Oryzias latipes: one gene and its partners. The protein of the gene in region 2 interacts with the protein of the main gene of each other region in a pairwise test. Links are inferred from orthologs where the notes say so. Each region holds a gene or a part of one and is shown on either strand. Other genes may lie near its edges.

What was found.
Region 1: the proteins of pak5 (region 2) and ccng1 interact in binary tests that used the Homo sapiens proteins (3 or more experiments, as listed by UniProt). The two-hybrid records come from large-scale screens. The link is inferred for Oryzias latipes from reciprocal best matches to the Homo sapiens genes PAK5 and CCNG1.
Region 3: the proteins of pak5 (region 2) and uxt interact in binary tests that used the Homo sapiens proteins (3 or more experiments, as listed by UniProt). The two-hybrid records come from large-scale screens. The link is inferred for Oryzias latipes from reciprocal best matches to the Homo sapiens genes PAK5 and UXT.
Region 4: the proteins of pak5 (region 2) and psmf1 interact in binary tests that used the Homo sapiens proteins (3 or more experiments, as listed by UniProt). The two-hybrid records come from large-scale screens. The link is inferred for Oryzias latipes from reciprocal best matches to the Homo sapiens genes PAK5 and PSMF1.
Region 5: the proteins of pak5 (region 2) and pdlim7 interact in a two-hybrid assay, tested with the Homo sapiens proteins (2 studies listed by BioGRID and IntAct). The two-hybrid records come from large-scale screens. The link is inferred for Oryzias latipes from reciprocal best matches to the Homo sapiens genes PAK5 and PDLIM7.
Region 6: the proteins of pak5 (region 2) and atpaf2 interact in binary tests that used the Homo sapiens proteins (3 or more experiments, as listed by UniProt). The two-hybrid records come from large-scale screens. The link is inferred for Oryzias latipes from reciprocal best matches to the Homo sapiens genes PAK5 and ATPAF2.
Region 7: the proteins of pak5 (region 2) and fhl3 interact in a two-hybrid assay, tested with the Homo sapiens proteins (2 studies listed by BioGRID and IntAct). The two-hybrid records come from large-scale screens. The link is inferred for Oryzias latipes from reciprocal best matches to the Homo sapiens genes PAK5 and FHL3.

The regions. Positions count from the first base shown.
Region 1 is NC_019868.2:17,586,292-17,590,463, forward strand, and holds the start of ccng1 (cyclin-G1), read right to left. Parts: upstream 2,801-4,172; 5' UTR 2,664-2,800; intron 1,798-2,663; coding exon 1,534-1,797; intron 1,449-1,533; coding exon 1,195-1,448; intron 1,119-1,194; coding exon 1,040-1,118; intron 64-1,039; coding exon 1-63. Other genes in the region: septin-8-A, read right to left, coding at 3,898-3,952. UniProt on the Homo sapiens protein: May play a role in growth regulation. Is associated with G2/M phase arrest in response to DNA damage. May be an intermediate by which p53 mediates its role as an inhibitor of cellular proliferation.
Region 2 is NC_019882.2:2,145,488-2,149,746, reverse strand, and holds the start of pak5 (serine/threonine-protein kinase PAK 5), read right to left. Parts: upstream 2,801-4,259; 5' UTR 2,513-2,800; coding exon 2,458-2,512; intron 1-2,457.
Region 3 is NC_019865.2:33,765,944-33,769,993, forward strand, and holds the start of uxt (protein UXT), read right to left. Parts: upstream 2,801-4,050; 5' UTR 2,678-2,800; coding exon 2,580-2,677; intron 1-2,579. Other genes in the region: cdk20 (cyclin-dependent kinase 20), read left to right, coding at 3,465-3,545, 3,628-3,741. UniProt on the Homo sapiens protein: Involved in gene transcription regulation. Acts in concert with the corepressor URI1 to regulate androgen receptor AR-mediated transcription. Together with URI1, associates with chromatin to the NKX3-1 promoter region.
Region 4 is NC_019863.2:32,757,443-32,761,378, reverse strand, and holds the start of psmf1 (proteasome inhibitor PI31 subunit), read right to left. Parts: upstream 2,801-3,936; 5' UTR 2,696-2,800; coding exon 2,567-2,695; intron 2,051-2,566; coding exon 1,904-2,050; intron 787-1,903; coding exon 704-786; intron 537-703; coding exon 348-536; intron 15-347; coding exon 1-14. Other genes in the region: pigu (phosphatidylinositol glycan anchor biosynthesis class U protein), read left to right, coding at 3,568-3,697. UniProt on the Homo sapiens protein: Plays an important role in control of proteasome function. Inhibits the hydrolysis of protein and peptide substrates by the 20S proteasome. Also inhibits the activation of the proteasome by the proteasome regulatory proteins PA700 and PA28.
Region 5 is NC_019868.2:19,546,091-19,550,316, forward strand, and holds the start of pdlim7 (PDZ and LIM domain protein 7), read right to left. Parts: upstream 2,801-4,226; 5' UTR 2,513-2,800; intron 1,516-2,512; exon of another isoform or gene 1,217-1,515; intron 1,191-1,216; exon of another isoform or gene 1,101-1,190; intron 674-1,100; exon of another isoform or gene 672-673; 5' UTR 669-671; coding exon 573-668; intron 1-572. UniProt on the Homo sapiens protein: May function as a scaffold on which the coordinated assembly of proteins can occur. May play a role as an adapter that, via its PDZ domain, localizes LIM-binding proteins to actin filaments of both skeletal muscle and nonmuscle tissues.
Region 6 is NC_019877.2:3,256,401-3,260,628, forward strand, and holds the start of atpaf2 (ATP synthase mitochondrial F1 complex assembly factor 2), read left to right. Parts: upstream 1-1,428; 5' UTR 1,429-1,672; coding exon 1,673-1,796; intron 1,797-1,882; coding exon 1,883-1,927; intron 1,928-2,024; coding exon 2,025-2,173; intron 2,174-2,254; coding exon 2,255-2,352; intron 2,353-3,807; coding exon 3,808-3,888; intron 3,889-4,011; coding exon 4,012-4,124; intron 4,125-4,228. Other genes in the region: gid4 (glucose-induced degradation protein 4 homolog), read right to left, coding at 1-77, 428-487, 873-1,064. UniProt on the Homo sapiens protein: Plays a role in the assembly of the F1 component of the mitochondrial ATP synthase (ATPase).
Region 7 is NC_019874.2:23,688,079-23,691,578, forward strand, and holds part of fhl3 (four and a half LIM domains protein 3), read right to left. Parts: intron 2,257-3,500; coding exon 2,087-2,256; intron 1,938-2,086; coding exon 1,751-1,937; intron 1-1,750. UniProt on the Homo sapiens protein: Recruited by SOX15 to FOXK1 promoters where it acts as a transcriptional coactivator of FOXK1.

The DNA of each region.
Region 1 (4,172 bases), on a different chromosome or scaffold from region 2:
CTGTTCAGGGTCATGTTGATCCTGGGCCTCATAGCAAACTAGAGCCATTGCAAGCAAAGAAGGCTGAAAAGAAACAGCAAATCAAGGGGGATTTGGTTAAAACGAGCATGGACGACATATTTCCTTTTTAAGAAAATTCTAGTTATTTCCAGAAGTCCATCCCTGAAAAAGGGATGACAAATTGAACCTGGAGCCAAGTTCAAATAAATTTAATCAGCTCAAACTAAATGAAAGTTAGGTTTCCTAATTCTCTTTTTCCAAACACAAGCATCAGGTTGCATGTAAGAACAGTGTGTTTGACTGATCATGGCTAATCTTTTCAACCTTCTGCTGAACTCAAAGGTCTTGTCTGTTTTCGTCTGCACCATCACATTCTTTACACGTCTGCTTTTAAGAAGCCACTTTGACTGGGGGAGGGTACACCTTTGATAATCCTATGGAAACTATTCGAGGAGAAATAACTTCATGTTGTCTCTAACAACTCAGACTGAATCTATTAGCCTAACACATTTGTTTTGATAAGTGTTTCCTTTTCCAGATCAGTCACCTCAATAAAGAATTGTAAAAAACAGATTTCAAGTCCCCTCAACATAAATAAATCTGGAGTATTCACATGTGGGACTCTGTTCGTGACAGAGTCACGAACGAATGCCTTTGGAAGTTAACCAAACAGGAGCCAGTGGAGAATCAAATCAAAAGGAGAAAGTGGGGATGGCTCGAACACACGCTCCGAAAACCACAAAACAGTATCACTCGCCAAGCGCTAAAGTGGAACCCACAAGGCAAAAGAAATCCAGGACGGCCCAAAACAACATGGCAGAGAACAACGGCGGCGGAAGCCAAATCTCTTGGATTATCATGGGGCCAGTTAGAAACCGCGGCCCAGGACAGGAGAGGCTGGAGAGACCTAGTAGACGCCCTATGCCCCGACAGGGGTGAAGAGGATTAATGAATGATTCACATGTGGGGTACGAGGTACAGAATCATTTTTTTATCAGAACAGATGATCAAAATTTGTACACAGTTTCTCATGACATACCTTTATTTTGGAGAAAGCAAATGAGCAATGACAGGCTTTAAGCTGCGACTCCAGTCTCTCGATACTTAAGATCATTTTGCTGTTGACAAAAAGAGTGTTCAATGATAACATTCAAACTGGAAAAAAAAAAAAAACATATTTTAAGATTAAGTTACCCCTCAGAGTCAAGCTGCTCCTGGATATGACTGTGAATCAGTCGAAGAAAGTGGAGGGTTGTGGGGGCTTTCACCTTCCAGTATAATTTCTCCATGACGATCTTCTCCATCCTCATCATATCAGACACAGTGAAGCGATTCTGACTGATGCGGATGAGGTCATTTGCCAGAGGCACATTTTTCTCCTCCTCTGAGGACTTTATAGCGATGTAGAAGCAGCAAAGACCAACACAGGAGAGGTGCTTTGGCTGAATCTGAAATGGACATGAAGGGGAGGCGTGTCATTTTATTTAATTTGTAGAAATTCATGAAACAAGCCAGAACAGTTTCATTACAAACCTTCATTACAGAGAGAAATCGATCCAGCAGGCTCACAGCCAAGGAGAAGGTCTCTGCGCTAAAACCAAAGAACCTGGAAAGAGAGAGCAGGTCTTTCACCTCCAGCTCTCTGAGTTTTGCAGTCATCCTTAGGCCATTGTCCTGGGCACACTCAATGAGCCTCAATCCGCTCAGCTTTGGTTGGTATCTGGCCTCCAGATCTATCAGGGTCTTCAGCTGAGCTGCAGAGGACTGCACTCCAGCTCCCGTCACTGTATCAATCATCTGTAAAGAGCAGGAGAATGTTGATATTATTTGGAATAGGAAAATAAAAACCACATGCCAGGTTATCCAAATTTGGGGATTTTGAGTGAGCAATCTGATGATCTGCACACGGGACACAAAGTATAACATTGCATTGGTCTTTGGGTATTAACTTAATCAATTTACATGAAATGAGAAAGACACCCTTGAACCTGTGGATTACTGCACGCAACCTGCTTTATATGCCTAAAAACGTGTACAGCTTAGGAGAGAGCAAGCAGACCGAGTTTCTATATTGGTAAGTTATCAAGTAACACATTTGTTACAGCTGTCACCTATTTGAACTTTAGATGGGGGGATAACGCATGATTGGACACAATTACCACATATACTGGAGATAAATACAATTCAAACAGGTATCTGGAGTCATAATCAAAACGTTGTATTCCATTAAATACTTCGTAATATTGATAGATGGCTATTAGAACAGTAGGTAAATGGATCAGGCCATGTTGGGGCAGAACCCGCGACATGTCGGGACATGTTCCTGCCATAGACAACAACGCTTCGAGGAACACACACTAGTCCGTGGTGTCAACACATTTGTGAAAACTTTAATAAAGACTTTACCGAAAAACGGATATATGTGCTTCAAGCACTAGCTAGGCTATGAACTTTTTTTTTTTTACTGTATGGAAAGGAGAGTTAATCGAACTGCAGCTAGCTACTCAAGCTAACGCTAGCTACAACATATCTCAATTATAGTACTTTCTATGGATCAGTCACAACACAAAATGCTTCCTATTTTTAATTTTAGGTTGACTTCATTTAACCATAATTGTGACATGTAGTGAATGTTGTTACACAAATAAACGTGGTGCACCTACCTTGAAAGCGTGTTGTCTTTAATGATAAAAGTTATGATCCACTGGGTAATAAACACGGAGTTTTGTAGAAAAATAAAACTTAGCGTAAAAAAAATTTTTAAGCAGAGGTTGATTTCTGCCTATGCACACCCCCTACCCTTGGTTAAGGCGACGGGGAAAAGGACAGTTTAGGTAAATAAGAGTGCATAAGAAGCTAGGGTCTGAGCATGGGAGGATTTGATTGGCTAGCAGCTGAGTCTTCTATATTTTAATTGGATATTCACAAAAAGTCCCACCCCTTCACGAGGCAAATGACCAATCAGAAATGAGAGATATGGGCGTGTTAGAAGTGACTTGTTGAGGCTCAGAAGAATTTTTTATTTAAGATTTTGTAAAGTAATAGTATATTTCTTATTTAGATGAAAGCTAGTAACTTATAATAACAATTTTACCTTAATAACAATAAACAATTATAAAAAGGTGTCTACACTCGGCAACCTTATGTGTTTCTAGGAGGGATCTAGAAGACACTGGAAGGAACCTGAGCCTCACCAGCGAGTAAGCCCTGGCTGTTAGTTGTCACCAGCTGGAGCTGACCAAAACCAGTTTTTGTTTTTTTTAATTGAAAAAAATAAAACAACAACAACGATACAACTATAATAATGCATAATAATATTTATTTCTTCATAATCAATGATATTGACATAACACAAATTTACAAGATTTATTTCCAAAGGTTTAGGTACATTTATTGTTAATATTTATTTTCTTTAATAACACAGTATATTCTTTTGGCACTTAAGACTAGTTGTATCTCCATCTATAGGAAATATTTTTAGAGAAGCACTATTTATAGTTTTAATATTATTTAAGATACATAAAATTATTCTATGAAAACTAAAGGTGCTTCTAAATCATAGAATGATCAAACTATCTTTGTAACCATCAAACAGCAAATGCAGTTCAGTTAACAGTATGAATATCACAGTGTAAGTATTCATCAGTTAGAAAGAAACCATAATAATGGCACGCTAAATGAAGCAGGGAGGCATATTCGGTACAAAACCAAGACTTTGGCAATGGAGAGTGCAGGAAAAAGAGCCTTAATTCATGCAGAGACCATGCCACAAAGCATTTATAAGACAGAAGAGGAAAGTCAAGTTGATGTGGAAGACTTCAGGCTCTCTTAATTCAATTTCTATAAAACGTTCAGTAAATATAGTAAAATTAAAGAAGTTTGACGTTTTGGTGTCTTCTAATTCAAATTCCTTCCTGAGGTTAAGGAGCACGCAGACGGAAGACTAAAGAAGCTATGAAAGGAAAGAAAAAGGCAGGTTATTTGTCTGAACAAGTAACATTCATAAGGCAAAAATTTAGCATTTTCTGTTTTTCAAGTGTCCTGACAGATGTTCTTGGCAACTCAGTGAAGACAAAGGATGCAGTCCGAATGTTGTGAATCATCTAAATGAGTGAAGTGATTAAAGCCCCAAGGCCAGAGGAAGTCAAAAAGGGACACGGATGACAAATGAA
Region 2 (4,259 bases):
CTGAAGCTCTCTCTTGGAGTAAAGATGCTGACCCCTCACCTAGATGGAGATGAGATGATTACAGACTATTAGGGCTTAAACCGGCCAAGCTGCACTGACAGGAGACAAAACAACAATTCACCCCCCCATAAACCACTGAATGCATGTAAGGCAGCAGACTGTCAAACGTGTTCATGCACTTGAACAGCCACAGTCCTGGGAAGCTTTTAGCAGCTTCGTTTTCACAGCAGCTTCAGGCTGCAGGTTCGGGTGATGAGGCTTCTGGGAGTTCACAGACACTGGACGGTTTCAGGAAGAAAGGTTCACCTTTCTCAAACCTTTCTCTCTCTGCAGGTTCTCTCTACCTGCAGAATCCTACCTCACCTTTTAATCCACTGTGAGGAATGAACGTGCAAACATCTCCACCTCTTTCATTCTGCAGAAGTTCAGACTGGATGTTAGCATCACTTCTCCACAAACGCTTCTGAAGGAAAACAGGAGAAACTGCGAGGATTATTTATGAGTCCACTGTCTTCTGAAGATAAAAACGATGATGGTTCATTTAAAAAAAATCATTTAAATACATTTTTGGGGAAAAATTGTTCTGACGCAATGCATTGTGGTCTATATTTGCTGATCTAGTGAACATCGATGCACACTGGAGACTTCTGGGAAATTTCCAGGGCACTTGATTTTGGAATTATAGATTTGGACAGCACTAGAAAATGGAGAACGCACTACATAGTGAGTAGGGAAGGAATTCGGACACAACCCAGGTTTAGTCTACAACCAAAGTTTCATTGACCTTTGACCTTAGGAAGAGGTCACCATCTTAGGTTTATAAAATAAAATTACCTTTAGTACCTTCTACAAATGTAAACTCTTCCTAGGGACTTTGATCTCCTCGAGCATCACCGGGAAGCTACTTAGATTAGGAATGTGGGCGTGGTCAACAAAAACCCCTGTCGGCAAGGATATCCAAAACATTACTTTTCCCGATTTTTGCTAAAATTACGTAGATTTGTTCGTCACCCCCAGAAGACCCAAAAGAACAATGGTTACTATGGAGATAAAACAAACAGAAAAGCCACCATTTTGAAAAATCTGTCATTTATGAATTTGTTAAGTGTAGCTCTGAGCAGGGTGGCAGGGGCAGAAGGGGGGAAATGAGGGGCGTGTAGCCAGTGGGGGCGGGTCAAACAAAGGATGGCGGGTATGGGTAGTGCCTACGCAATGCTGCTCACGGCTTTAACCACATTTGCATTTTTTAAACCCTCCTGTCTTTATAAAATGCTTAGATAAAAGAAAAAAGTAAAGAAACGCCTCACTGTCATGTAAATTTGGGTTTTAAAAGATCAAAGAAAGTTCTTTTGCTGGTCTGTGTTTTCTGACCGCAGCCAAACGGTTAGCAACCTCAACTCTTGAAGACAAGACAATAAATTCCTCAGAAAAATGTATATTTTGCTTATTTTGGCTGGAAGATAAAATCTTTTTCTCATATAAATCCTCCTGACAACCTGAGCCCCACTTCTTCACATTTGGTATCATTGGAAAGCCCCAAATGTCCTCTGTAGAAACCAGAAGTAGTTCATCTAGTAGTAGACAGTGGTTGGAAGATATTCAGGTTTAGAAATGTCCACTACAGATGATACATTTCAGTTAACAGGGGTATAACATGAATTTCAACCTTTAAAAGCTTCCAACAGGGAAACTACAAAAGGGTTTAGTAATATCAGTAACATTTCATCCTGTGGGGAAGGGGGAAAACGAGGAGTTCCAGCTCAGAAATTCTGACAAATGAGAGGTAAATATTCTCTAATTATAGAACAACTAAAATAAAAACACTACCGGTCTCAGGGCAGAGATCCTGACTCCCCGATGGATTTGTCTCCAAACCATCTGTCACCATCTGAACCTCCACAGGCTTCCTTCCACTTTGGGCCGTGGCGGCGTGACAGACACTCGCCGCGGCAAAAACGCATGCACATGTACAGACGGTGCATTCTTATCAACGCTGACCGCTGCTGGTTTTGGGTAGCAAATGTCAGCCCGATGGACGTGGCAGCGCTGGTTCTGTGGGCCTGAGATGGTGATTTCCAACACATCATTTCAGCCACTGCTTGTGATGAACTGGATCCAGGGAGGGACCACTTGCATTAAACATGCAGTTGTTTCCATTTCAAAGGTCAAAGTGAGCTTTCTCGTCTTTTTTTTTCTGTCAGCACCATCTCAAAAACGACGTAAAATAGCAGATCTTTGTCTTCATGTCATCAGCAAAAGTCGGACTCTTTGATCTCCTTCTCTGATTTACCTTCATCTCGTTTCTGCAGGTGATTTAATCTGATTAAAAAGTCTCCACATTTCTGCCCCCAGAAACATTTGTCCGGCTGGAAAACAGCTTCAGGTGAGGACAAACGTGCCTCATCATCTCACAGATGTTTGCCGCCTCTCCTAAAATCCAGAGTGGCTGAATCTTACCTGGAAACAAACTGGCGGTTTCTCTTAACCAATGGAAATGCCCTGGATCAGCCATCGTCAGGTCACTAAAGCCTCCTCACATGTTGAACTTCCATGCAGAAAGATTCATTTTTCATCCTTTCGGCATGGAACTGGATGTCCCCGCTCTGGAACTGTAAACCGGTAAATCTCTGGAGCAGCAGTGCTCGCATGAAGTCATCAAACTGACAAAGCGGGTCAAGCCCAGGACCCGCTGCAGCCCCCCTCGAGCTGCTCCATCTCCTGCCTGCATGCTCTGATAACTCTCAATGTGAGGCTGTAAAAATGCCGACGCCAGCAGCCCGCGCCGAGCCGCAGCCGGACGGCCCGAGCCCGGACCCAGCCCCGTTTCACCGCCATTGTTTCCCGAACGGGTTGGAGCTCCTCTGAGACCGTCCTCCAAGTGGGTCACAGAGGCCGCAGAGCAGCGGCGTGCCGGTGTTTGTGTGGCATCGACCGTGGGGAGAAATACAACGCTTCAATCCAAACAGAAAAAGATTTGTCTATTAAAGTTATCTATACTTTTTTATTCCAGAATATTTATCATATAATAAATAAATAAGTAAATCTTCTTAAAATATTGATTGCCAAAATTTATTTCTTTTTAATTCAGTTCTCATCCCAAAAGAAAATCTTTTTTTGGGCTAACATAAAGAGAAAAACATGTTTGTAAACTTTTCTTAAAGTTTGAGCCTAAGGTTGAGATTAGCGATTGTATCTTAGTGTCCAGTCGTCACCTTCTGTGGAAAATATTACTCCTCCAGCTAACAAATGCAGTTATTTTTGGAAATTTAGTTAAAGCTCTTTGAACTTAAACTGTGGTTCTGTGTTTTTGGTTCCAAAAAGCCCTGAAAAGATTGTCCTCAAATGCTTTAATATGAAATGATGACTTCCCAAAGACCAAACTAAACACCAGAAGAAAGGCTTTTCCATGGTTACGACCCATCAATAATCACTTCAAGCTTTCCAACTAAAAACATGACTTTGACCCCCTATGACCTCTAGAAAATCAATAGAAATCTGAGAGCAACAAAACTTCAGGATCACCCAAAAGTTTTCTAAAAAACTAGAACAAAATATAAAGTGGAAGCCTCTGAACGGAGCATGAAGAGCATCTTTTAGCCCTTTTTGACTCTGTGAAAACAATCTAAAGGATGCTTTTTTTTACAGAAAAGCATCGTTTGACACATAAGGACATGTATTATTTGCTCAAATTGCCACCGGGTTTAAACTATTTAAAGATTAACTATGCTGTCCGGTCAGATTTAACGTCGCAGTGAGGCGATGCAGAGAGGCAACGTGTTTGATGGTTGAAACGCAGAGACACAAGTACTGCTGGGAAAAGAAAAAAAAAAGGCTTTTTTTTTAGAAATGCATGCGGAGGAGTGAGATAAGCAGTGTGGAGGTGTGGAGCTGCAGACTAAATACAGAACCAGTGATCCGGCGTTATGCACATGCATGAGGGACGGCTGCACCAGAGTTTATTTGTTTGTTTGCTCCAGAGCAAAGCCGATCCCATTTTCCAGAGTCGAAATCAAACGTCTGCAGAGTTCAAAACTTTAATTGCCACTGAAGGAAAGCATCCATTGAAGTCGTTATCTCCTCCTGTGGCCACATAATGAATGACCTGGATGGAGAAGGACGGCTGGGACTGGGAGCTGCAGCCCCGAAGACAGAAAAACCCGTTCTTCACTCTGAGAGCAAAGATGTCTCCATATTTATGAAAGAAGACAAAGTCAGTAAGTCCAGTAAAGTTCTAATAAATGATCTCTAAAAACTCAACA
Region 3 (4,050 bases), on a different chromosome or scaffold from region 2:
TGATGCAACGACATGCAGATTGTTGAATTCACTTGCACAGCAATTCAAATGAAAGGCCAGAAAGAAAGTAACAATTCTCTTGCAATTTTCCAAATAAGTCCGGCAAGCGCTGGACTTTTTTCAGTACCGTCCCAGTGTAGGTACCATAACAGTTCGGCCTGCAACAACCGTTCAGGGTCCTTCGACTAGTGCTGACGTCACATTATGTGATGACTGTCTGTTGGTCCAATGACGTGTCAGGTAGTGATTGGTCTGGACAAATGACAATACTACCATAGAAGAAGATATTATACGGTCCGTTGTAAACAAACAGAGCTCCGACACAGAGCGACATTATCTTCTAAACGTGCTTTTAATATTATGATTATTATTAGGTGCATTGCAGATGAATGGACTGCGTTCAGAACCCTTCTCCAGACCGCACACTATGACAAAGCAGCTTCCCTGCCTGTAAACACGAAGCTACGAGACTCCAGCTGCTCTGCTCAGAGACAGGGTTCACTCTGTGGAGCAGCAGGTTCATTCTAGCAGCCACAGATCTTTACAAAGGGGGTTGTGGCAAAATCTCTATAAACACTACAAAGAATAATGTCAGACACAACTTAAGAGGGAAAAGAACTTTATGTTATAAAAGGAAACGTGAAATGAGAATATGTAGAGCCCGAGCAGATCTCCACGCTACGTAGTTTGTCCAAGTGGGGCTACCGTAATGTGACATCATCCTCAGTCGAAAGGACCCCAAACGGTTATTGCAGGCTGAATGGTTATGCTACCTACACCAGCTGCTGTTGAACAAAGGCGGCTAAAGCCTGGACAGTCTGTCCCAGGGCCCATGGAGCTGGAGCGGTTGATCTCACTATGCGGCTCCCAGGAGGCGAGCTGGGGGCCAGACAGAGACCTGCTGCAGGATGGGGAGCCAGCCTGCTCTGACCTCCTGAACTTTAGGTTTTCTTTCAGGTCTCTCTATATATAACATATATATAATCTCATCATCCTCTCCCTCATGGTGCAGAGACCTAAGCATAGTAGGACAAATAACTGGGCAAAACACAATAAAAACAGCTAAACAACTAAACACATTTGGTCAAAAAGCCACACTTAAACCCAAATCCGTCCAGACAGGCAAAGGGAATGCTATCCCACAATCCCTTGCGGTGCCGATCTAACAGCAGCACCAAAGTTACACCTACTCAATTGAATTAATTTGAATGAAAGTAAAATAACTGTCTGACAACTATGTGTTATTTTTAAGTTGACTGAACTGAAAAAAATTATTTATCTTAACTGAAGCAAATAATGAAGTTAGATCAAAGTAAAAAAGTTTATCTTTCCAACATCCATATGTGGTCTTATCACCCTCTCATGGTGTAAAAAGTATTATCTGAGCTTCTTCATCCACTAAATCATCTTCAAATGGACACGCCATGCTGCTTCACCTCTCTGTAAACAAACTAACCTTCAACTAAACCTGCTCCAGACCAGGTTATGTTCAGAGCATGAGTTGCTATGGCAACTTGACATAACCTGAAACATACCTCTATTTCTGGAACTGAAAGCTGAGGTTATCAACTTCCTTAGCCTCAAACGTACCGAGGGAGCTAGCATAACCTGCTTTCTTTTTTTTTTTTTTTAATAAACTTTATTGAAGATATACAAGATACTCATTCAAGTAAATTTTAAGTACACAGATAAAAAAAAAGAGTAACAAAATGTGCCAGGGGAACAAAAGAACAAAGGAGAAGAAAGAAGAAAAAAAAAATTATAAACAAGAGCAGAAAAAGCAGTAAGTTGCTATTCTGTACATTTAAAAAAATTCCAGGGTGTCAAAGGTTCTTATAGCTTTGGGGTTGGAAGAATGTTTTATTGCTTTGATATATTGGTTCAACTCAATCATAAAAAGTTTGAATAAGGGCTTTTTTTCAGAAAATTTGCATTTATGTATGTGGAATTTGGCTAGTATTATCAAAAGGTTAATTAAATAGTATTCCCTTCTTAGTGAATTATTAACACTATAAAAACCAAATAATATATCCTTGTATACCAAATCAAATTTTTCATAAATTTAACATCGAACAAAGGAGGTAAGGTCTTTCCAAAAAATTGCTGTTGGGGGGCATTTCCAGAAAAGATGTATAATTGTTTCAGTGTCTAATTTACAAAAGGAGCAATTTTTATCAATGTCTATGTGTAATGAGGATTTGGCTGGGTAGCATCTGTGAAGAAGTTTAAAACAAACATCCCGGGGTTTATTTGAAATAAAATATTTAGAGGACAAAGTCCAAACTTTCTTCCATTCAATATCTGGGGCAATTTTTCTCCAATAGTGGGTGCATAACCTGCTTTCTGGAATACTCCCCTGGGCCTTTGTGACGTCACAACACCGCATTAGTTCAAACAGAGCGTCTTTGAGACAGTTTGATTGACAGCGGTTTAAAAGGAGAAACACTCAGAAATGCAAAAATGAAACCATGTCTAATTCCATTTGTTGTATTTCATAAGACAAATACCACAATGTCACAAAACATGATTTTCATCAGAGGGGGACTTTCAGAACCGGAGCAGAACCCAGAGGGGCTTACCGCAGGTCTCTCCTCAGAACTTCCTCGATGAATCTTTCATACTGAAGGACCTTCTCTTCCATCCTCGAGTCAGAACCGGCGTCTGTGGGCGGAGTCATCGGGGATGGGGGGCTAATGCGGGGGCTCTGCGGGCCGGTTCAGCTCAGACACTTGTAAAGAAGTTCACAGCCCCACATGCAGTCATCTAAACAAGATTCTGAACCGGAAGTACTCCGACAAGATACTTCCAGGTTTCAGCGTAGAAGAGGAGCAGAAAAAAGAACATTTAATTTCTTTTTATGTTTAAAGCACTTTGTGCAAACAGTTGTTATTTGGTCATTTTCACTTACATTTATTCTTCCATATTCTACCAGATATATAGAACGTGGCAATTATTCATAAACTAATTCCCGGGTTAAACCTTATGTGAATATGAATTTTAAAATATATATGTTTTTGTTTAATGGCTGGTTGTGCTAATTTTATTTATTCTTCTTCGTTGTTTTATTTTCGTTGATTTGGATTGTCCTGTGATGACGTCACTGTCAACAAACATGGCGGAGAGCTGCGTTGACTATAGTTGAAACGTTTTCAAAATATCTCGTCAAGTGCCAAAGGACAGCGCACATTTGGTGTCGCGTACATGTCATCAGCTTTACGCATCAAGTAAATATCCAGCACTATACTAAATATTCAACGATATACTAAAGTTTCGTAGTTTTATTTATCAGATGTGACCGAGGCAACATCAGCGCCCACTTCCGGTCTCGTTCCGTTCAAAATGTCGTGCTTATTTTGGTTGGACGCGCCGGAGCCCCGCTCTTAAAACCCGTGGACTAAAAACCGTTAAGTAAAGGAACAAGTCCAAGTCCATAAAGATCCCCGCTGCAGCTGCAGGGGTCCTGGATGATCATGGAGCAGTACAGCATCCTAGGCCGGATTGGAGAAGGGGCTCACGGAATCGTGTTTAAGGCCAAGCACGTGCAGGTGAAACATGTTCATGGAGCAGAAAAAACAGACACCTGAACAGGTGATCATTCAGGCTGATGGATGAACGTGTTTCTGACAGACCGGGGAAACTGTGGCTCTAAAGAAGGTGGCTCTGAGGAAGCTGGAGGACGGCATTCCCAATCAGGCTCTGAGGGAGATCAAGGCTCTGCAGGAGATTGAGGACAACCAGCACGTGAGTGTGTACAGTCGTGGTCAAAGGTTTGGAGAATGACGTAAATATTGTTGGAAATTGGAAAATAATTGCTGCTTAAATACATATAATAGCATTTTGCATATACTCCATAATGTTATGATGATCAGATGAATTGCATAGTCCTTCTTTGCCATAAAAATGAACTTAATCCCCCAAAACTCTTTCCACGGCATTTCATTGGTGTCATTAAAGAACCAGCTGAGATCATTTCATTCATCGTCTTGTTAACTCAGGTGACAATGTTGACGAGCACCAGGCTGGAGATCATTCTGTCAGGCTGATGGGGTT
Region 4 (3,936 bases), on a different chromosome or scaffold from region 2:
CTGCAGGCTCACGCCTGAAAAACAAAGCGTTCATCAAATGATGAAGAATCACCTCACCTTCATCAGGAGCAGCACAGCATCCGTGATGACTGTTTCCTTCCTGACAGAATAAACCTTTCAAAATAAAAGCTCATCTTTAGATAGACTTGTTTCTGCTTTTATCCTTTAAAGTTCAGACGGATCTAACAACTCATTCAGTTCTGTGAGAAAATAACAGGAATTTATTCCTGATTTTTACTTTAACGTCATTTCTTTTAACTTTCAGAATATAGAAATATTCTAGAAAGAGAGAATAAAGACTTCTTTATCCCATCGCTGTGATCAAATCAATGCCAGAATTTCCCAACCATGGATGCTGCGTTCCCGGACCAGGACGTCTGCTGGGAATGCGTAGAGGGTCGTCCTCCTCTCTCCTCCTCCTTCCTCCTGCTTCGTCCTCATCCTCCCGCAAACTCCTCCTCCCTGCTTTCTTCTCCTGGGGGGGCAGCAGCTGAGCCCTCACCTTCTCTGACAAACCGTCTCCATTTATGAAAACCCTTCAGAATAAAAGCCTTCAGTCAATCATTTCATCCAGATTCAGGGTTGCTACCTCTGCACCCGCAGCTCTTATGGTCTGCCCTCCTCACCTGTGACTCTGTGACCCTGAGGGACTGAAAACAGGAAGAACTGCTGATTCCTGTGGGGGACGTTTTTTTACACCGACCTGTCAAACGTGTCCAGATGGTCGGCGTCCACGTGATCCTTCATGTTCACGGTCAGGTCGGTCACCTGCTGCGTGCTGCAGTTCTTCAGACACACAGAAAGCAGACGCCGTCACACCGCCGTTACCTTCAGCTGGAATCTGACGTCAGCATTTCTGAACGACGATTGTTCAGAGTTTCTGTGACGTTCGTGACGCGTGGACTCATGTTCAATACAACACGAGTCCACATGTCTGCAGGACGTGAACGGAACAGAAAAATAACATGCCACCATAATAAAGATTGAAGAAACAGACAGAGGGCTGTACCGACTCACTGCACAACTACACATAATATATTCACCAGGTTTCTGCTTCAGAAATATTTATTGTTTTCCTGTTTCTCTTTATTCTAGTATCTTCAGCCATGTTTTGCAGCTTATCTTCTACAGTTACTCATCTATTTCAACCATCCATCTATTCAAATGTTCGGCTCTTTCAGCTTTTTCCAGCTGTGACTTTTGGTCCTTCAAATCCTTGAACTTTTCCAGATATTCCAGGATTTCTGCCTCCATTTAAATAAATGGGGAATCCTTGGTGCAGAAGCTCGCTGGTTTGATACCCGGCTCTGGCATTTTTCACAAACATTTTTGTTATTGTGCTGTTTTCACTTTATTTATGGTCAACTTTGATCATTTCTTTATTTTTTGCCCGTTATTCCCCTTTAAGTTTCATTTTCATTCAGCAGTACAGCATTTAACCGGCATTTTCTTCTAGAAATGCAGCTCCTTCTAGTTTAAGTTTCTTTTTGAAGACCTTTTCAGAACTTCTGCTGGGAAATCAAAATAAAAGAAAACCATCAAAGTTCAAACCTAAAGCCATCTGATCTTCATTCAGAAAACCTTTGTTAAAATCTCTGACTGCTCTCTATTTTTTTAATTTGAAGCTATTCCACTAAATCTTCACCTTTCAACAGTTCTGAGATGATAAATAACGCCTTTGTGTGCTCCCTACATCATCAAAACACGTCTGATGTTCTAAAACGAGCCAAATGTTGCCATGAAACCTAAAAGCGGCCTCTGTGTTTTTAAATTTCAGATTTGTTTCTCTGTCGTCTCAGATGTGAGGTTCGCTGCAGACTTTTTGCATTTAATGCTTCGTTCTCCCTCATTCCAGCAGAGTGCCCACCCCCTCATGTCCTGAAGGACCCCCCCCCATGCCTACCATCAGGTTGAATATCACAGCAGAGTCCACGGGGACGGCTTTCAGCAGCATCTTTGCGTCCGCGCCTTCGTAGCGGAGACTGTACAGCTCCTTGTTGCTGCTCCAGTCTGCAGGCAGGAGCTCCGACTTCCGGTCACCGCTGCGGGGCTGGGGGGAGGGACGGGGGCGGGGGGGGGGGGTGAGACACCCTCTCTTTCAAACGCTTCTGTGCCCCCCCCCCCGCGCTAAAGATGACGTGACACTTTTTGCGGAAAGTCCATTTGTTTAGTATGAGACCAAATGGCGCGTGCCAACTGCACGAGACTAAAAATCGGACTAAAACATGACTCAATGCAGAACTTTAGGAGGTCAAAGGTCACCTAGATGGAGGAAGAAGAACCAACTCAGCGGAGGTTTCCTCTGAATCGCCTGCAGGACAGTTTCAGTTTCCATCCTGATCCTCCTGCTAATGTAGCAAAGCTAACATTTATTCCCACAGACTGAGAGTTTAAATCAAAACTGTAACTCAGAGGGACTTCAGAGGCTGTCAACAAACTACGATCTAAAAGTAAACAAACAGCATTAACTTGGTTCGTCTCGTATCTTAAATGTGTTTAAATAAAACCAGAATGTGTTGTTGGTTTGTCTCTTCTGGTTCTGCTTAAGTTAGCTAGTTCGACCCACCTCGTCTCCGGAACCGATGCACCGGTATCCTCCCTTGATCATTTCCCAGTGAACGAAACACACGAGGGCGTCCTGAGGACAAGTCAGGCTACCTGTGACGCAGGTGTACAACACCTCCAAGCCTGCCATGTTGTCTCACAAACCAACAGCACAGAACAAGAACAGAAAACAAAAATCGCAGAGTCGTCGCTTCCATAACAACCACAGCGACTTCCTGCAGGGATTTTCAAAGTAAAAGCACGTGGCTTTTAGAGGATTGCAGAAAACACATACGACACGCTAAAATAGTATTGTAGACGTGATACAGTCACAATTTAGTAATCAGATATTTTTAAAACGAACAACGATAATCTACTTCAACGTGACGCTAACACAGGCCCACAAAAGCGTTAATTTTATTTTATTTTTAAATACGCCCCCGGAAACAGTAAAATAGTTTATTCCAACTAGACGGCGAGTTGCAGTTTTGTTTTGATCCGTCACATAAATCTTTCGACTGAAAACACGCAAATGACAAAACATTCCGCATTCCGGGGTGATTAAAGAAAAACGCCTGTAATATGTGCTATATTATTGTTTAAAATTACAGCGTCTTTATGTATATTCAGCATATGCAAAATTAGAACTAACAACAAGATCATATGAAAACTCCTCTGTTGAGATTAAACTCCTTTTCAAGTTGTTTAAAATGTGTTTATTTACCTTTACACATAAAATTAAATACAATATTTGATTAAAACAAAATTCTAATCTTGATTTTAATTGCTTGAATTATGCGTTTTAAATAGTCTTTTTGTAAATATGTTCCTTTATTATTATTATTATTATTATTATTATTATTATTATTATTATTATTATTATTATTATTAAACTCGCTCCTTATCGCTGCTTGGACTGTAAATCTGTGGAGGTTGGAGGTAAATGTTTTCCTGACGAGACGGAATAAACTTGACTTCCCAGCATGCACCTCGAGCGCAGGGCGAGAGAGCTTCCTCGCGAAGATGGCGGCTCCCTTGACGCTCCTAATGATTGTCGCCGTGACGGTCCGTGCCGTTCTATTCCGGTCCAGTTTGGCGGAGCTGATTTCAGAGAGGGTGGAGGTGGTGTCACCGATTACTGCCTGGAAAAGAGGTGAGCGGGCCGCCGGCGGGGGTCCGGAGCGCACCGGTCACACACGCCTCGCACCCGCGCGCCTCCCCGCTGCGCCGGTAAACCGGTTCGGCGACAAAATCTGTCACAAAAGAAATCTGTAAATGTTTGGAGAATGGTCGACGAAGGTGAAACGGTGTCAGACTCGGACTCTGATCCGATTTTTGGTCCCCAAAAAAACCCCGAACTGAAGGAACTCATCTCTGATTATTATCATCGAT
Region 5 (4,226 bases), on a different chromosome or scaffold from region 2:
AGACTTTGGGGCTCATTAAAAACAAATGGAAAGCTTCAAACGTTGAAAGCCTTTGTGCTCTTTAAGAAGCAATAACCTCAGCATACTTTCAGCTATAAACATAATTCAAACTTTTACAGCTTCAGCAGACATGTGGCTTTTTCCCTTGTACTTGGTTTTGTAAAAGTTCTTTGTTGTTTTTAAATAAAAACACTTTTAGTTTAATAAAAAAATAATTTAAAAAATCCTTTTTGGTCAAAAAAATAATTTCCTTTAGTCAAAATCATTCCTTTAAAAGAAAAAAATTGCCATTATCAGTAATTTGTTGTATTGCTAGGCAGTTTTGGAGATCGTTGTTGAATTTAACAATATTTGGTTATTGTTGTTTTTTTTCCAGCAACTTTAAAAGTTATCTAATCAACAATTTAACTTAGCAGCTTCTGCTGTTAATATTGGGTATTTGCACTGCAAAGTTTTAGCATTTGTTTCAGAATTTTGAATGTTATTTAATCCCTATGCACATTACAGCATCTTGAGTCAACAGCTCAAGCTGAATTTTCACAGAAAAATGCAATTTTCTGGCATGTTCTTACCCTTGACACGGTGAGGGGCATGCTGAAGTCCTTGCCTCCCTGCAGCCTGAAGCCCCATGGCGCTGGGCCATTGAGGGTAACAGTGTACAAGTTCATAGCCTTGAGGAAGAGGGAACACAAGGAAAAGTCTAAATTAGTCAGAAAGCCAGGAAAAGGGATCCGAGTCCATATATTCTTTCCTACTACTGCCTTTTCCTGACACGTTCCACACAGACAAGCAATTTTGACTGTTTTTCTTCATGACATACTAAACATGGAGGTTTATAATCCAACTAAACTCAAGTCTGCTAGATTTTATTCCAGTGGTTTGCATCTCGTAAAACAGTGATGCAAATCGATTCATATTTCTCTAATGGTGCTAACGGGTAAAAAAAAAAACTAATGTTCCAGCCTTAGAAGGGAAAAAAAGAAGGCAATAAAATCCCAGGGCTGCATCTACATGATAGGACATTCCTGCTTATATCAACACACTTTGGGGAGCTGCACACCAACAACACTTAGAGACAGAAGAAGAAAAATCAACTCAACTGTTGTTGAAATGTAATAAAACGCCGTCTTTTTAGTTCATTTTTACAACTGTACAAGAAGACCTTACAAACAGGAATTCAACAGCAGACAGACACCTCACAAGAAAGTCCTTTTACATGAGCGTGTCGACGTCACCAGCTCTCACCGTGACCTGACCGCTGACCTTTGTGCTCCTGCTCGAGCACTTGCTCCTCCTCTCGTTGGATCTTACCAGCTCCAATCCTTCCTAATGATAACACCGCTTCCCAGCGCTCAGACCTACCTTACCCTCGAGGGCCGGCTTGTAGCCCAAACCTGAGAGAAAGACGGGGAGTCAGCGAAGCCGGGCGAGCAGAAAGTACCCCCCTGATGCTGCGTGCGACACAGACAAGTCCTAGCCTCTGCTCTCTCCTCAGAGGCTATATAAGGAATGTAAAACTACACCAAACTATTTCAGCCCAACACCCACATGAGTCACAGGGGAGGGGGGGCACTTGGAAGGAGAGAGGTAACGTCAACTACCCCTTCATTTTGACAAAGAGTCAAAACATAAGTCATTTTCATTTCTGTATCCTTCTTTTCTTTCAAGAATCACACTTGGGAACAGAAAAAACCTTCTAGCACTGTAGTTTCTCTGGTACGAAGCACAACAAACCCATTTTATTATCCACTTCTTTAAAATTACATAGAATAATTAAGCTTAAGACCCAAAAACTAATGTAAAAACATCCCACTTCTGCCAAAAAGAGGACATAACTAATAAAATATCTTCCCAACTAAACCAAATATGAGTTCTTTTGTGTTTTTTATCGTTTGAAATTGATATTTTCCTTTTGCAAAAGCAAATTAATCCTCCGTTCATAAAGTTAAAGAGACAGTTTAGAGGATTAAAAGAAACATACAGTTTAACAGCAACAATAAATCAAAAGTGTTGGAATCCTCAGATGATGAACTACCTTTTTAAATACCAATTCTGTACCAATTCATTCAACTAAGTCAGCAGGCTGAGTCAACTCATTTCACCGTTTTTTCTAATTTACTGTCAGTCTACTTTATAGGAAACTTATGCTATTCTTTAAGGATTAAAAAAATACACTAACCATCTAACACTGTATAGACACAGTTACGAGCTTATATCGAAAGCTTTTACGTGATTTTAATAGGAGGGGTAATTGAAGAGCATGCTGGGAACTCTTAAGACAGCAGCTAGACGTTTGCACAGAGAAGCAAGTAAGCTAACCGGACGGGGCAGTCCAAAATATCTGCTCCAACTCAAACGTTAGTGCTGCTACAATTTGATTTAATTCAAAAAGGCAAGTTAAGAACAAACAATTAGAACAGAAAAACAGCCGGAGGAGAAGCCAACTAAAAAAAAGTTGTATTGAAGTTAAAATAGCACTCATAAACTGAAGAACTGTGTCTCATAAACATACCTCTACCTCCTTGTATCCGCTAGACACCACAAGACGGGGAGTAGAATTTAAAAAATATTATATCCCCAAAAATTATCTACTTTTTGGGACTTCCTCTCGGCGTCAGGAAGCCGTTGAAGATCCCCCCCTTGAGCAGCATATGCATTCTCCTAAAAAAAAAAATCTTTTACGGCGTGACACGTCACAAGTCACGTGGGAGGTGCTACACTGATATCTGCGACCGCGCCATTCGGTGCCAAAGCGAGCCTAGTTTCTCTGCAAATTACGTCTTTGACAAAAAAAACTGAAATGCTTGGGCTACAACCAGAAGGCAACAGGGAGAGTGGAGGGGGCGTGATGTTTGTTTGTCAGAGGAAACGCATGCTAAAAGAGCATGTCATGGCAATTTTCATTAAGTGATAAGGACACAAAGAAAGTGGGACAGATAACAAATTAGGATTACAAACTAACTTTTATACTTAACCATTGTGCTATATCTTACATTGACGTGTTCTCCCTACCATGATATATGGGAGAGGATTTCATGTAATCCAATGGACACCGGTGAAGATCACAAATCATTGAAGAAAAAGGATTCCACGTACTGTCTTGTGGGGTCCAGATGACCCCACTCCCAACGTTAAAGTGCCTTGGATAACACAAGCGTTTAAAAGTAAACAATATGGTTATATTTTTTGATTTAGAATACATTTTGATTTTTAAAGATGTATTTTGTTTTAGAACAGAAGAAAAACACAAATAAAACCCTAACCCTAAGTTTTGGTGACTGTTCTATGGTAAGACTTTTTTAAACCAAATTAAAAAAAAAACGTTTATATGTATTTTCAACTCCCTTTTTCTTTGTTTCTCCCTCTCTGCTTTTAGTTCTCAGTTTTTTGTTTCAATTAAGTTTTCGCTGCTGAGCTGATAAACTGATCCAAATTTGACCCCATACTATTTTACTGCCAGAAAATATATACTAAATGTAATAAAGGCCCCTATAGATAAATTAAAATCATGGAAAGATGACTTATCACTAAATATTAATGAAAACGATTGGACAAGGGGATGTTGTAGTAACAGTCGACTGAGAATACTACAATTTAACCCTTGTGCTATCTTAGATGACCCCATCCTTACATTGATGTGTTCTCCCTACCATGACAAAGGTGGATAAAGGTGGAAAGCTTTCATGTAATCCATGGACGCCAGTGAAGATCACAAATCATTGAAGAAAAAAGGTTCAGAGCACTGTCTAGTGGGTCTAGATGACCCAACTCCCAATGTCAAAGTGCCTGGGATAGCACAAGGGTTAAATGGTTAATGCGTTTGTATACTACACAAGTGCAACTAAATAAATATAATAATAACATACCAGATGTTTGTGCAAAATGTGGATTTAAAGGCACATTGAAGCATTGCATGTGGGAGTGTCACTAAATACAAATCTTTTTGGAAGAAGTTAAAATTACAATAGAAAAAATAAGCTCGAAACAATCCTGTGGATGTCTCTGTGTCTATTTTAAATACACCTGACAGGCAGCCTTTGATAATAATAATAATAATAATAATAATAATAATAATAATAATAATAATTGATACTTTATTTATCCCACAATGGGGAAATTCTTCCCTGCATTTTGATGGGTAAAAAAAAAGTAAAAAAGTTACTTAAAAAAAAGTAACTTGGTTTACTTTTAACAGCAGCACATCATAGACACCACATGCTAGTTTC
Region 6 (4,228 bases), on a different chromosome or scaffold from region 2:
TCCCACTTTCGGGTGAGGAACGGCCTCTTCCTGCTGATGATCTCCCCGGCGAAAAAAGTGGTCAGGGTCGGATATTCCTACGAAAATGTGCAACTGGATTATACCAACAATCTTGTTTTGTAAACTTTACAGCGTTAAGGCTAGGTTATCGCTATGTATAAATCATTAATAGAAAATTAAGACGTTTAAAAATATTCTAAGCAAATCGATCCCTTAATTAAAAATATCTGCACTTCAGAGGCAGAACAAAACAAAAAACTATGTAGAATTATTTGGCTCACGATCAGTTGGACTAATATTTAGTCATTGCAAGAAAAATTACACAAAAGGTGGAGGAAAAACTTGCAAAAACATTTAAAATTCTAAGTCCAGTTCATCCACATGTACATATTCCAACATGAATCCTCTAAATATGAACAGAACTGACCTCTGTGAGTCCTTTTATTTTCAAATAGCCACACAAGTAGGAATCCTCCATTGTGACATGCTGTAACAAATAATAAACAGAACTTTTAGGTCAAATCTCCACTGAATTTATGTTAAAAAAAATAACAAAAACAAAACTTGACGGTCAGAAGCTGCAGTTTCTCAAAAAATGTCAACAGCCCCTAATGTTGCAACATTTAAGCTAGTTGTGATAGTTTGTGTTAATTTAAACTGGTAGAAAATTGTGCAGCTGGTTGTTGTTAGTCGGTGTTGTTTGGGCGCAGTTGCTCTGCTACTCCCACCACTACACCCACAGTTGGTCCAGGACAGGCCGGGACCCCCTTTTTTTTTCAGCTGTCACTCTTCCAGCCGCCACTTTGACACATCACCCGAAAGCCTCGCGCTCGCAGTACGAAAAGCAACATTTCCGCCTCGGTGCCCCCCACCTGTAAGACCACCTCAACGTCGTAGGAGTTCCCTTTGCTTTTCTGGTGGCCTCTGAACTTGGAGCCGCTGTACAGCAGCGACGTGACAACACCGGGCTGGTGAGTGTTTATCGGCGGCAGCGGGATAAGCGAGGCCGAGGATGCAAAGGCCGCGGCCGGGAACTCGCTGAGATATCCAGCGGGGACAGGCATAGCTCCAGCTTCGCAGGCTGAACTCCAACCGCGGTCAACGGCCGTGCGGCAGCGGGACTCGGTCAACCTGTACGACCAGCCAGAAAGAAAGTCCCGAGGAGGTCCTCAAACATTCAAATTGCTCTTAATTGCGCCACAGTTCAGTTTGCGAAGCATCAAGCTCCCCAGAACTAAAAGTGGACTTCGAAGCTGCGCTGTAACCAGTAGCAACGGCTTATCTCATTGGTCCAACAACTTCACCCTCGAAGATCGTCGACGCTCATTGGCTGAGCAGGCGGAAGAGTATTCGTGAACATTTTTGATGTAGTTTTTAAGTGATGTGTAAGCGTTAGCAGTGCCAAAAATAAACTACATTTCCCAAAGCATGCAATGAAAACATTTTGTAGCTTTGTAGCATCGAAGGTCACACGCGTGGTTTTGAACCGATGTGTTACTGTAAGCTAGATGAAAACCTTAATGTTTAACAACAGATTTATTGTAGAGTCAGGTTCATTATACACTCAAGATCTGTTTGTTCAATGTGGTACTTTAGTGCGTGAGAGACCGGCTTAAGAAATCGCTAGTGAATCGTCTTTTTTATTGTAAACAGTATACGTCCAAATTTAGGTATGAATATGTTTAGACGTGTTTTTCAACTTCGAAATTCCTTTGGAAATGTAATTTCAGTTTGCAAGTCGTGTCCCAGTCATCAGTACTCCAAGTGTTTGTCAAAATACTCCACTGCATCTACAGGTAAACGTGTTTATTTTGACATTACTATTATTAATTATCAATATGCTGTGTGCTAATCATGTGCTACATGTTTTGCTATTTGACAGAGAGGAAGAGATTTTATCAAGATGTCAGCATATCTCAAGGAGATGGTGAGTCTTATTTAAAATTTAAAATAATTTTATTTATTGTTCCAGGGAAGACCAAGATTGATTATATTCTCTAATTTTGTGACGATTTTGTCCATAGATGGTTTGTATGAAATAAATCTGGATAGAAGGAAACTCAAAACTCCAGGAGGGAAGCTGTTCACAGTACCAAATGAAGCCCTGGCTATCGCCGTGGCAACAGAGTGGGATGCTCAGAGGGGGACACTCAAGTTTTATACCATGCACCTTGTATGGGATATTTTTTCTGACCTATTTACACCACAGTGTGTAGCCAGCCGTACTCATATGCCGGTTGAACTTTTCTTGCAGACCACTTTGTGCAACACGGCTCTGGACAACCCCACCCAACGCAACAAGGAGCAAATGATCAATTCAGCGTTGAAGTTTTTGGAGACTGACACGATCTGGTATGGATTTAGCTTTTATACTGTTTCTGTCCAGAGTTGATGATTATTTGGCTCATTTATGCCGGTTACTCAGTTTAAAAGATAAAACACCTGTATTTCAAATCAATATTTTACTTGAATGGAGAAAAAATGTTCTTAATCTAGAGAGAAAAGCAACAAGGACTTCAAAATAAAAGCACCTAACAGAAATACCAAAACAATAGAAAATTCAAAATTAGGTTTGTTTAGATAAAAAGTACCCAAACAAATCCTGGACTTGTGAGATGCAACTACATCTAATATGTTTTTTTTTTTTTCTATTTCTCTTTGTAAAAAATAAAACGTTATCTGCCATTCTGTGCTCTTTTTTTGCAATTTTTTTTGCAAATAATAGTCAAAATGCAATTACTTTTTAGCTTTTTGAAAATGTTCGAACCTATTAATATAATTTAGACTTTTTTTTTCATTATTATAAATTATACTTGTATAATGAGATATATTGTTTAACTGTCAACTATGTATTAGATAATCCCTTTAGTTCTTTAAATTTATATATTACATATTTATTTATTTCCCTTGTCTTTTTAACTTTTTACACATATTTAAAAAAAACTTATTATCTTATTCAGAATTTAATTTAAACATTTTATTGTGGTCCTGAAATATTCAACTTCTTTACACTTGTCTGCTTAATTGTTTTATGGATACCTTAGTAGTTTTAGCAAACAGATTTGCATCAGTCTTTTATTTACAATTATTATGTTTTAGCTACTTTATTGTGTAGGTGTGAATTTGTAATACATTTATTGGCACTATATATCTTTTTACATTTTCTATTTACTTTAGCATATTAGCTTAGGATTTAGCAACGTTCACTTTCTTAATTTCTTTAGCTAATTAACAATTTTATTTTACTGTTTTTTTGTGTTGATCCTTTTGTTATTGTGATTATTATTAATAATTATGCAGTGTATTTTTAGTTATCTCCCTTTATTTGACTAATGTAGCATTTTGCACTAAACTGTAATGCCACTGTAAAAGAAAGCAGATGTTTTTAGCTTATTGCAGAAAACTAGCATTTTTGTTTATGGAAATAAAATAAAAGAAATGAATTTTGGAACTTCTATGAATTTCATATACTAGATATTTGCAGGAGAAACTTTTTTTTCTCGGTCCATTGTCAGATGATTCCAGACTCCAAAGCATTAAAAATAAAGAATTACTGTGAAAATGAATGCAACAAACTTTTTCTTTGACCTAATTTCTTTAATAGGACCATCATTGTCTGGCCAGTAAAGTGAAAGCAAGGTCTGTTTTGTTTTCACCGGAGATGGTTGCCATATACCTGACTGTGGAGCAGGCTGTGCTGCTCTCTTATAGCATCTGCCATTTGGCTGCCTCTTTTTTTTAAGTTTCATTTTCAGATTAAGTTACCTTGTTGTCACAAAACAGTGATTTATTTATGCTTTGATTCAGTTACAGAGTGGAGGATCCTCCTGGTTTAGTGGACCTACAGAAGAACGAGTGGGATCCGGTTCTGCACTGGATTGAAAACCGGTAAAAAAAATAAAACAAAAGCATTAATCTTCACATCTTGTGCAGTAGACTTCCAAATGATGTAGGAACTGTCTCAGTAAACCATACATTATTATGCATTTTCTCTGTACTATTGCATGGCAGATACAATGTCACTATTGGATCTTCATCGAGCATTCTGGGTCCTGAAATTCCACAGGCAACCAAGGAAACTTTTCGACAGCATCTCAATTCTTACAGCCTCTGGTCCCTGACGGGTAAGACATCTCAACTCCAGAAAACGTGATCATCTATAGATCTCAACTTGTGCAGGCTGAGATGATGTATTTATTGTTTTTGAAATGTTTAAGAATTGTGTCTG
Region 7 (3,500 bases), on a different chromosome or scaffold from region 2:
TTGTGGGATTTTGTGATGATAGAGGACATATATAAAGACAAGTCTTTCTCATCATTTGTATTAATTCAAATCATTGCTAATCAGGAGCAGACAAAAATGCTGTTGGAAAAAGCTTGCAGGTCCTTTGATTGGTGGGCCACAAGCTCACTGCTCCGATCCATTCTGATGCATCCACTTGCAGACAAATTAATCCATGTACTTCTTTGTTTTCCTCATCCGAGCTGACTAAAAACGATCATCATAATTAAAAGACCGAAAGCAATACTTTTACAATGGATCAAAAGATGATTTGAGTGAGATTTTAACTTAATTTCTTTGTATTAAGCTTTATTCAATTTGTAGTCCTGTATTCTGATGGGTATCCTCTTGTTGGTAGCACACAGCATACAACTATTGCATTTTCAATGTGGAATTAAATTCTTCAAATTGGGATTTTTGATCATGTTGCATTTTACCCACCAGTGACAACTGGAAACAAAGTCAACCCCATCTGTGCATTTTGACTTTTTTATGTGATGACTATTCTGGGAACAGTAATAGTCAATACCAGCTCTTCAACAGAACAATGCAATCCCCCTCATTACTTAACCAAAGGTGAGTTCTATCACCTAAACATTGAATTCCTGGAAAGTATAGACTCAGCTTTACATACAAGTCATACAGACATGTTCACGTGTTCGTCCTGCACAGACAGGGTACCTGTCCATCAAGTACTAATATTTCTCTATCAAAATTGGGACATGTGCAACAATCACTTTAGATCCAAAAATTACCTGTTTTCAAACAACAACTTGCATTTTAGAAAAAATAAATAAAAAGGAGATTTTGGTCATAGACAGTTTTATCTGCCTTCACCTGACCTGGCTTAATTATTCCCACTCTTACACTGGCAATGGTATTTGTTGCAACATTTATATTTTACCTTCCAATTTTTTTGCTCTTTGGTCTTTTTTTATATTTGAACACTAGCCAAAGCATAATGACTAGGTAAAAAAAAAGCAAAATAAAAAAACATTAAAAAAATCTTAGAAAATGTTGCATTTGGGAAAAATGTCCAAGCATTTGACTTTTGTATTCAAAAAATTATGTGTCTTGCTGCAAAAAAACTTTTCCTGGACAGAAGGAGGTCAAAGGCGTAAGTTGTCCATATTTGTTCCTTCAAATTAATAGTGATAGACGTGAAATTAAATTCCCATCTGAAATTGTTAAAACTTGTCATAAAAAAATAAAGCTGGCATGTGGCATGAATTGTGATTATAGTAGTTTCTCTGTGTCTGATTGCTAAAATAAACGGTCAAGTCAGACTGGAATTTGAGTGTCTTTTCTTCTTGTAGCCTACAGAAATAACACAAGTGCTAATAGAGATGGCACAATGGAGAGCAGAAGGAACAGAACGTAAACAAAGAGGTCTATCACTGAAGAGCGCCTTTCTGCACCGCTGCCAGATTCCTAAAATAACAATCTGAGCCTGTCAGCTGTCATTTAACTAACTTGTTAAAATAATACAGTTAAAGGCAACCTGTATAAAGGCTTTTCCAACTGACAACTTTTGTCTAAAGTAAATAAACACATTTCTGCTCTGCACATATGTAGTCTCTGTAAGCAACATGCATTATTGTTAGAAAAAAAACACTTTTACTATGAAGGATTTGATGTTACAAAGATGTGATGTAAAAAGAAATGGCTAAGAAAACTAGAATGCTAATGCACACTACAACTTACTTCTAAAACAAAAACCATAAAATCTTACCTGTAATCGGTTTGCAGCAGGCCTCACATTTCTTGGCATATAGGCTGCTGAAACACTTGAGGCAGTAAGGGCTTTCATCTCTGGAGGTGAAGTGCTGACCAGCTAGCTGGGTCTCACAGCTGGTGCAGACAAAACACTCCTTGTGCCAAGGCTCATCCCGATAGGTCACACCACCTTTAGACAAAGCCTTTAAGGAAAAGGAAAATCACAAAATAAGTTTTTCATCTTCTATTTTTTAAATCTGACCAATGTCATTAACTGCAAAACTGCACTAGAAGGGTCTTTTAAAAAAAAATCAATTTGAATTCCTGTATACATATAAATTAACAATCTGACCTTTTTACAGCGCGTGCACCGTGGAGCAAACTTGTCCTCATAACAAGGTACGCAGTAATGCTCGTCTTTGTCAGGGATGAAGGACTTGGAGCCAATAGGCTGTTCACAGCTGTGGCAGATGAAGCAGCCCTCGTGCCATGTAGAGCCAGCATATTCCAGCTTTCTTGTACCTGTGTATGCATGAGAAGACATTTTTAATAAGAAGCACAAACACATAAAAATAAAATGGTATAATGTTATAAATATCAGAGATGTGTCTAATAAGGTTAAGTTCAACCTTAAAAAAAGGAACATTAACGTTTGAATTCCCCTATCTAACTGATTCTTTTATTGACTTATATCATTTACATATGGTAACCATTCTTAAATATGTAATGGAGAATATGTTTTTTCCGATTGGTTTAAGAAATGGTAAACAATTTTTTTACAAAACCATTTTCAGATCAAAAACACTAAATTCTCTTTATAAATTCTACCAGACCGTAGCACAAGACTCACTGTGTTAGGCAAGCCAACAATAAAAGGGAATAAACTGGAATGTAAAATGAATTCCTTGTTCAGTGTAGTGGCAGGGGCTGTGATAAATAAACTCCTGTAAGCTTAAAAAACACAATACCAACACCAAAAGCAAAATTTACTTTAGTTTTTTTATTGAACCTTTGAACAGACATTACCCTGTCAACAGTATTTAAGGATGGCTTTAAACTTAAACTTTCCTATTTGTAGGTTTGTGAATATTTTAAAATGTAAAAAATCTATGATTGAGTGAACTAAATAATGACAGATAACACCATTATTTTTCCCCATAGGAGTCAATAAAGTGAACAAGAGCTGAGCGTTCGGCTGAGCAATGTGAGGATTTTTTGGAGCTTCATCTGTTGAACTTTTCATGGAGGATTCTTATGTACCTCATGTGAAGTAACTTTGCTTATTTTAAGATAAATCTGGGCAACGGTCATTGTAATCTGCTCAGTCAAACTATATTTATTTAACAGTCAGATCTAGAATCCATGACGGAGAATTTGGAAGTAAAGCATATCTCTTATCCGTTGCCATCAATGGTTTTGTGAGCCGCACACCAGCTCTTGGGATTTGACTTCAATGCAGCAGTTTGAGCAAAGGCACATTCACCTGTGGGTGCTGCTCAGCTCGGGACCCTCGTCTTCACCCCTCTCACCCCTTTTATTCTACAACTTCTTCCTCTTTTGTGTCTGCCTGATTGCTTACCTTATCAGTTTCATTGTTCCTAGCTTCCTGTTGTTTGCAGAGCCATCAACTTTTCAAGTCATTTGCTTATTTTCAACTTTTAAATATCACGTGGCAGAAGAGACATAACAGTAAGGGTTGAGCAATGCACCTCACAGTAAAAGTTATTTGAAGATTAATTTTGCCATCCAAAATTTTAATAGATTTA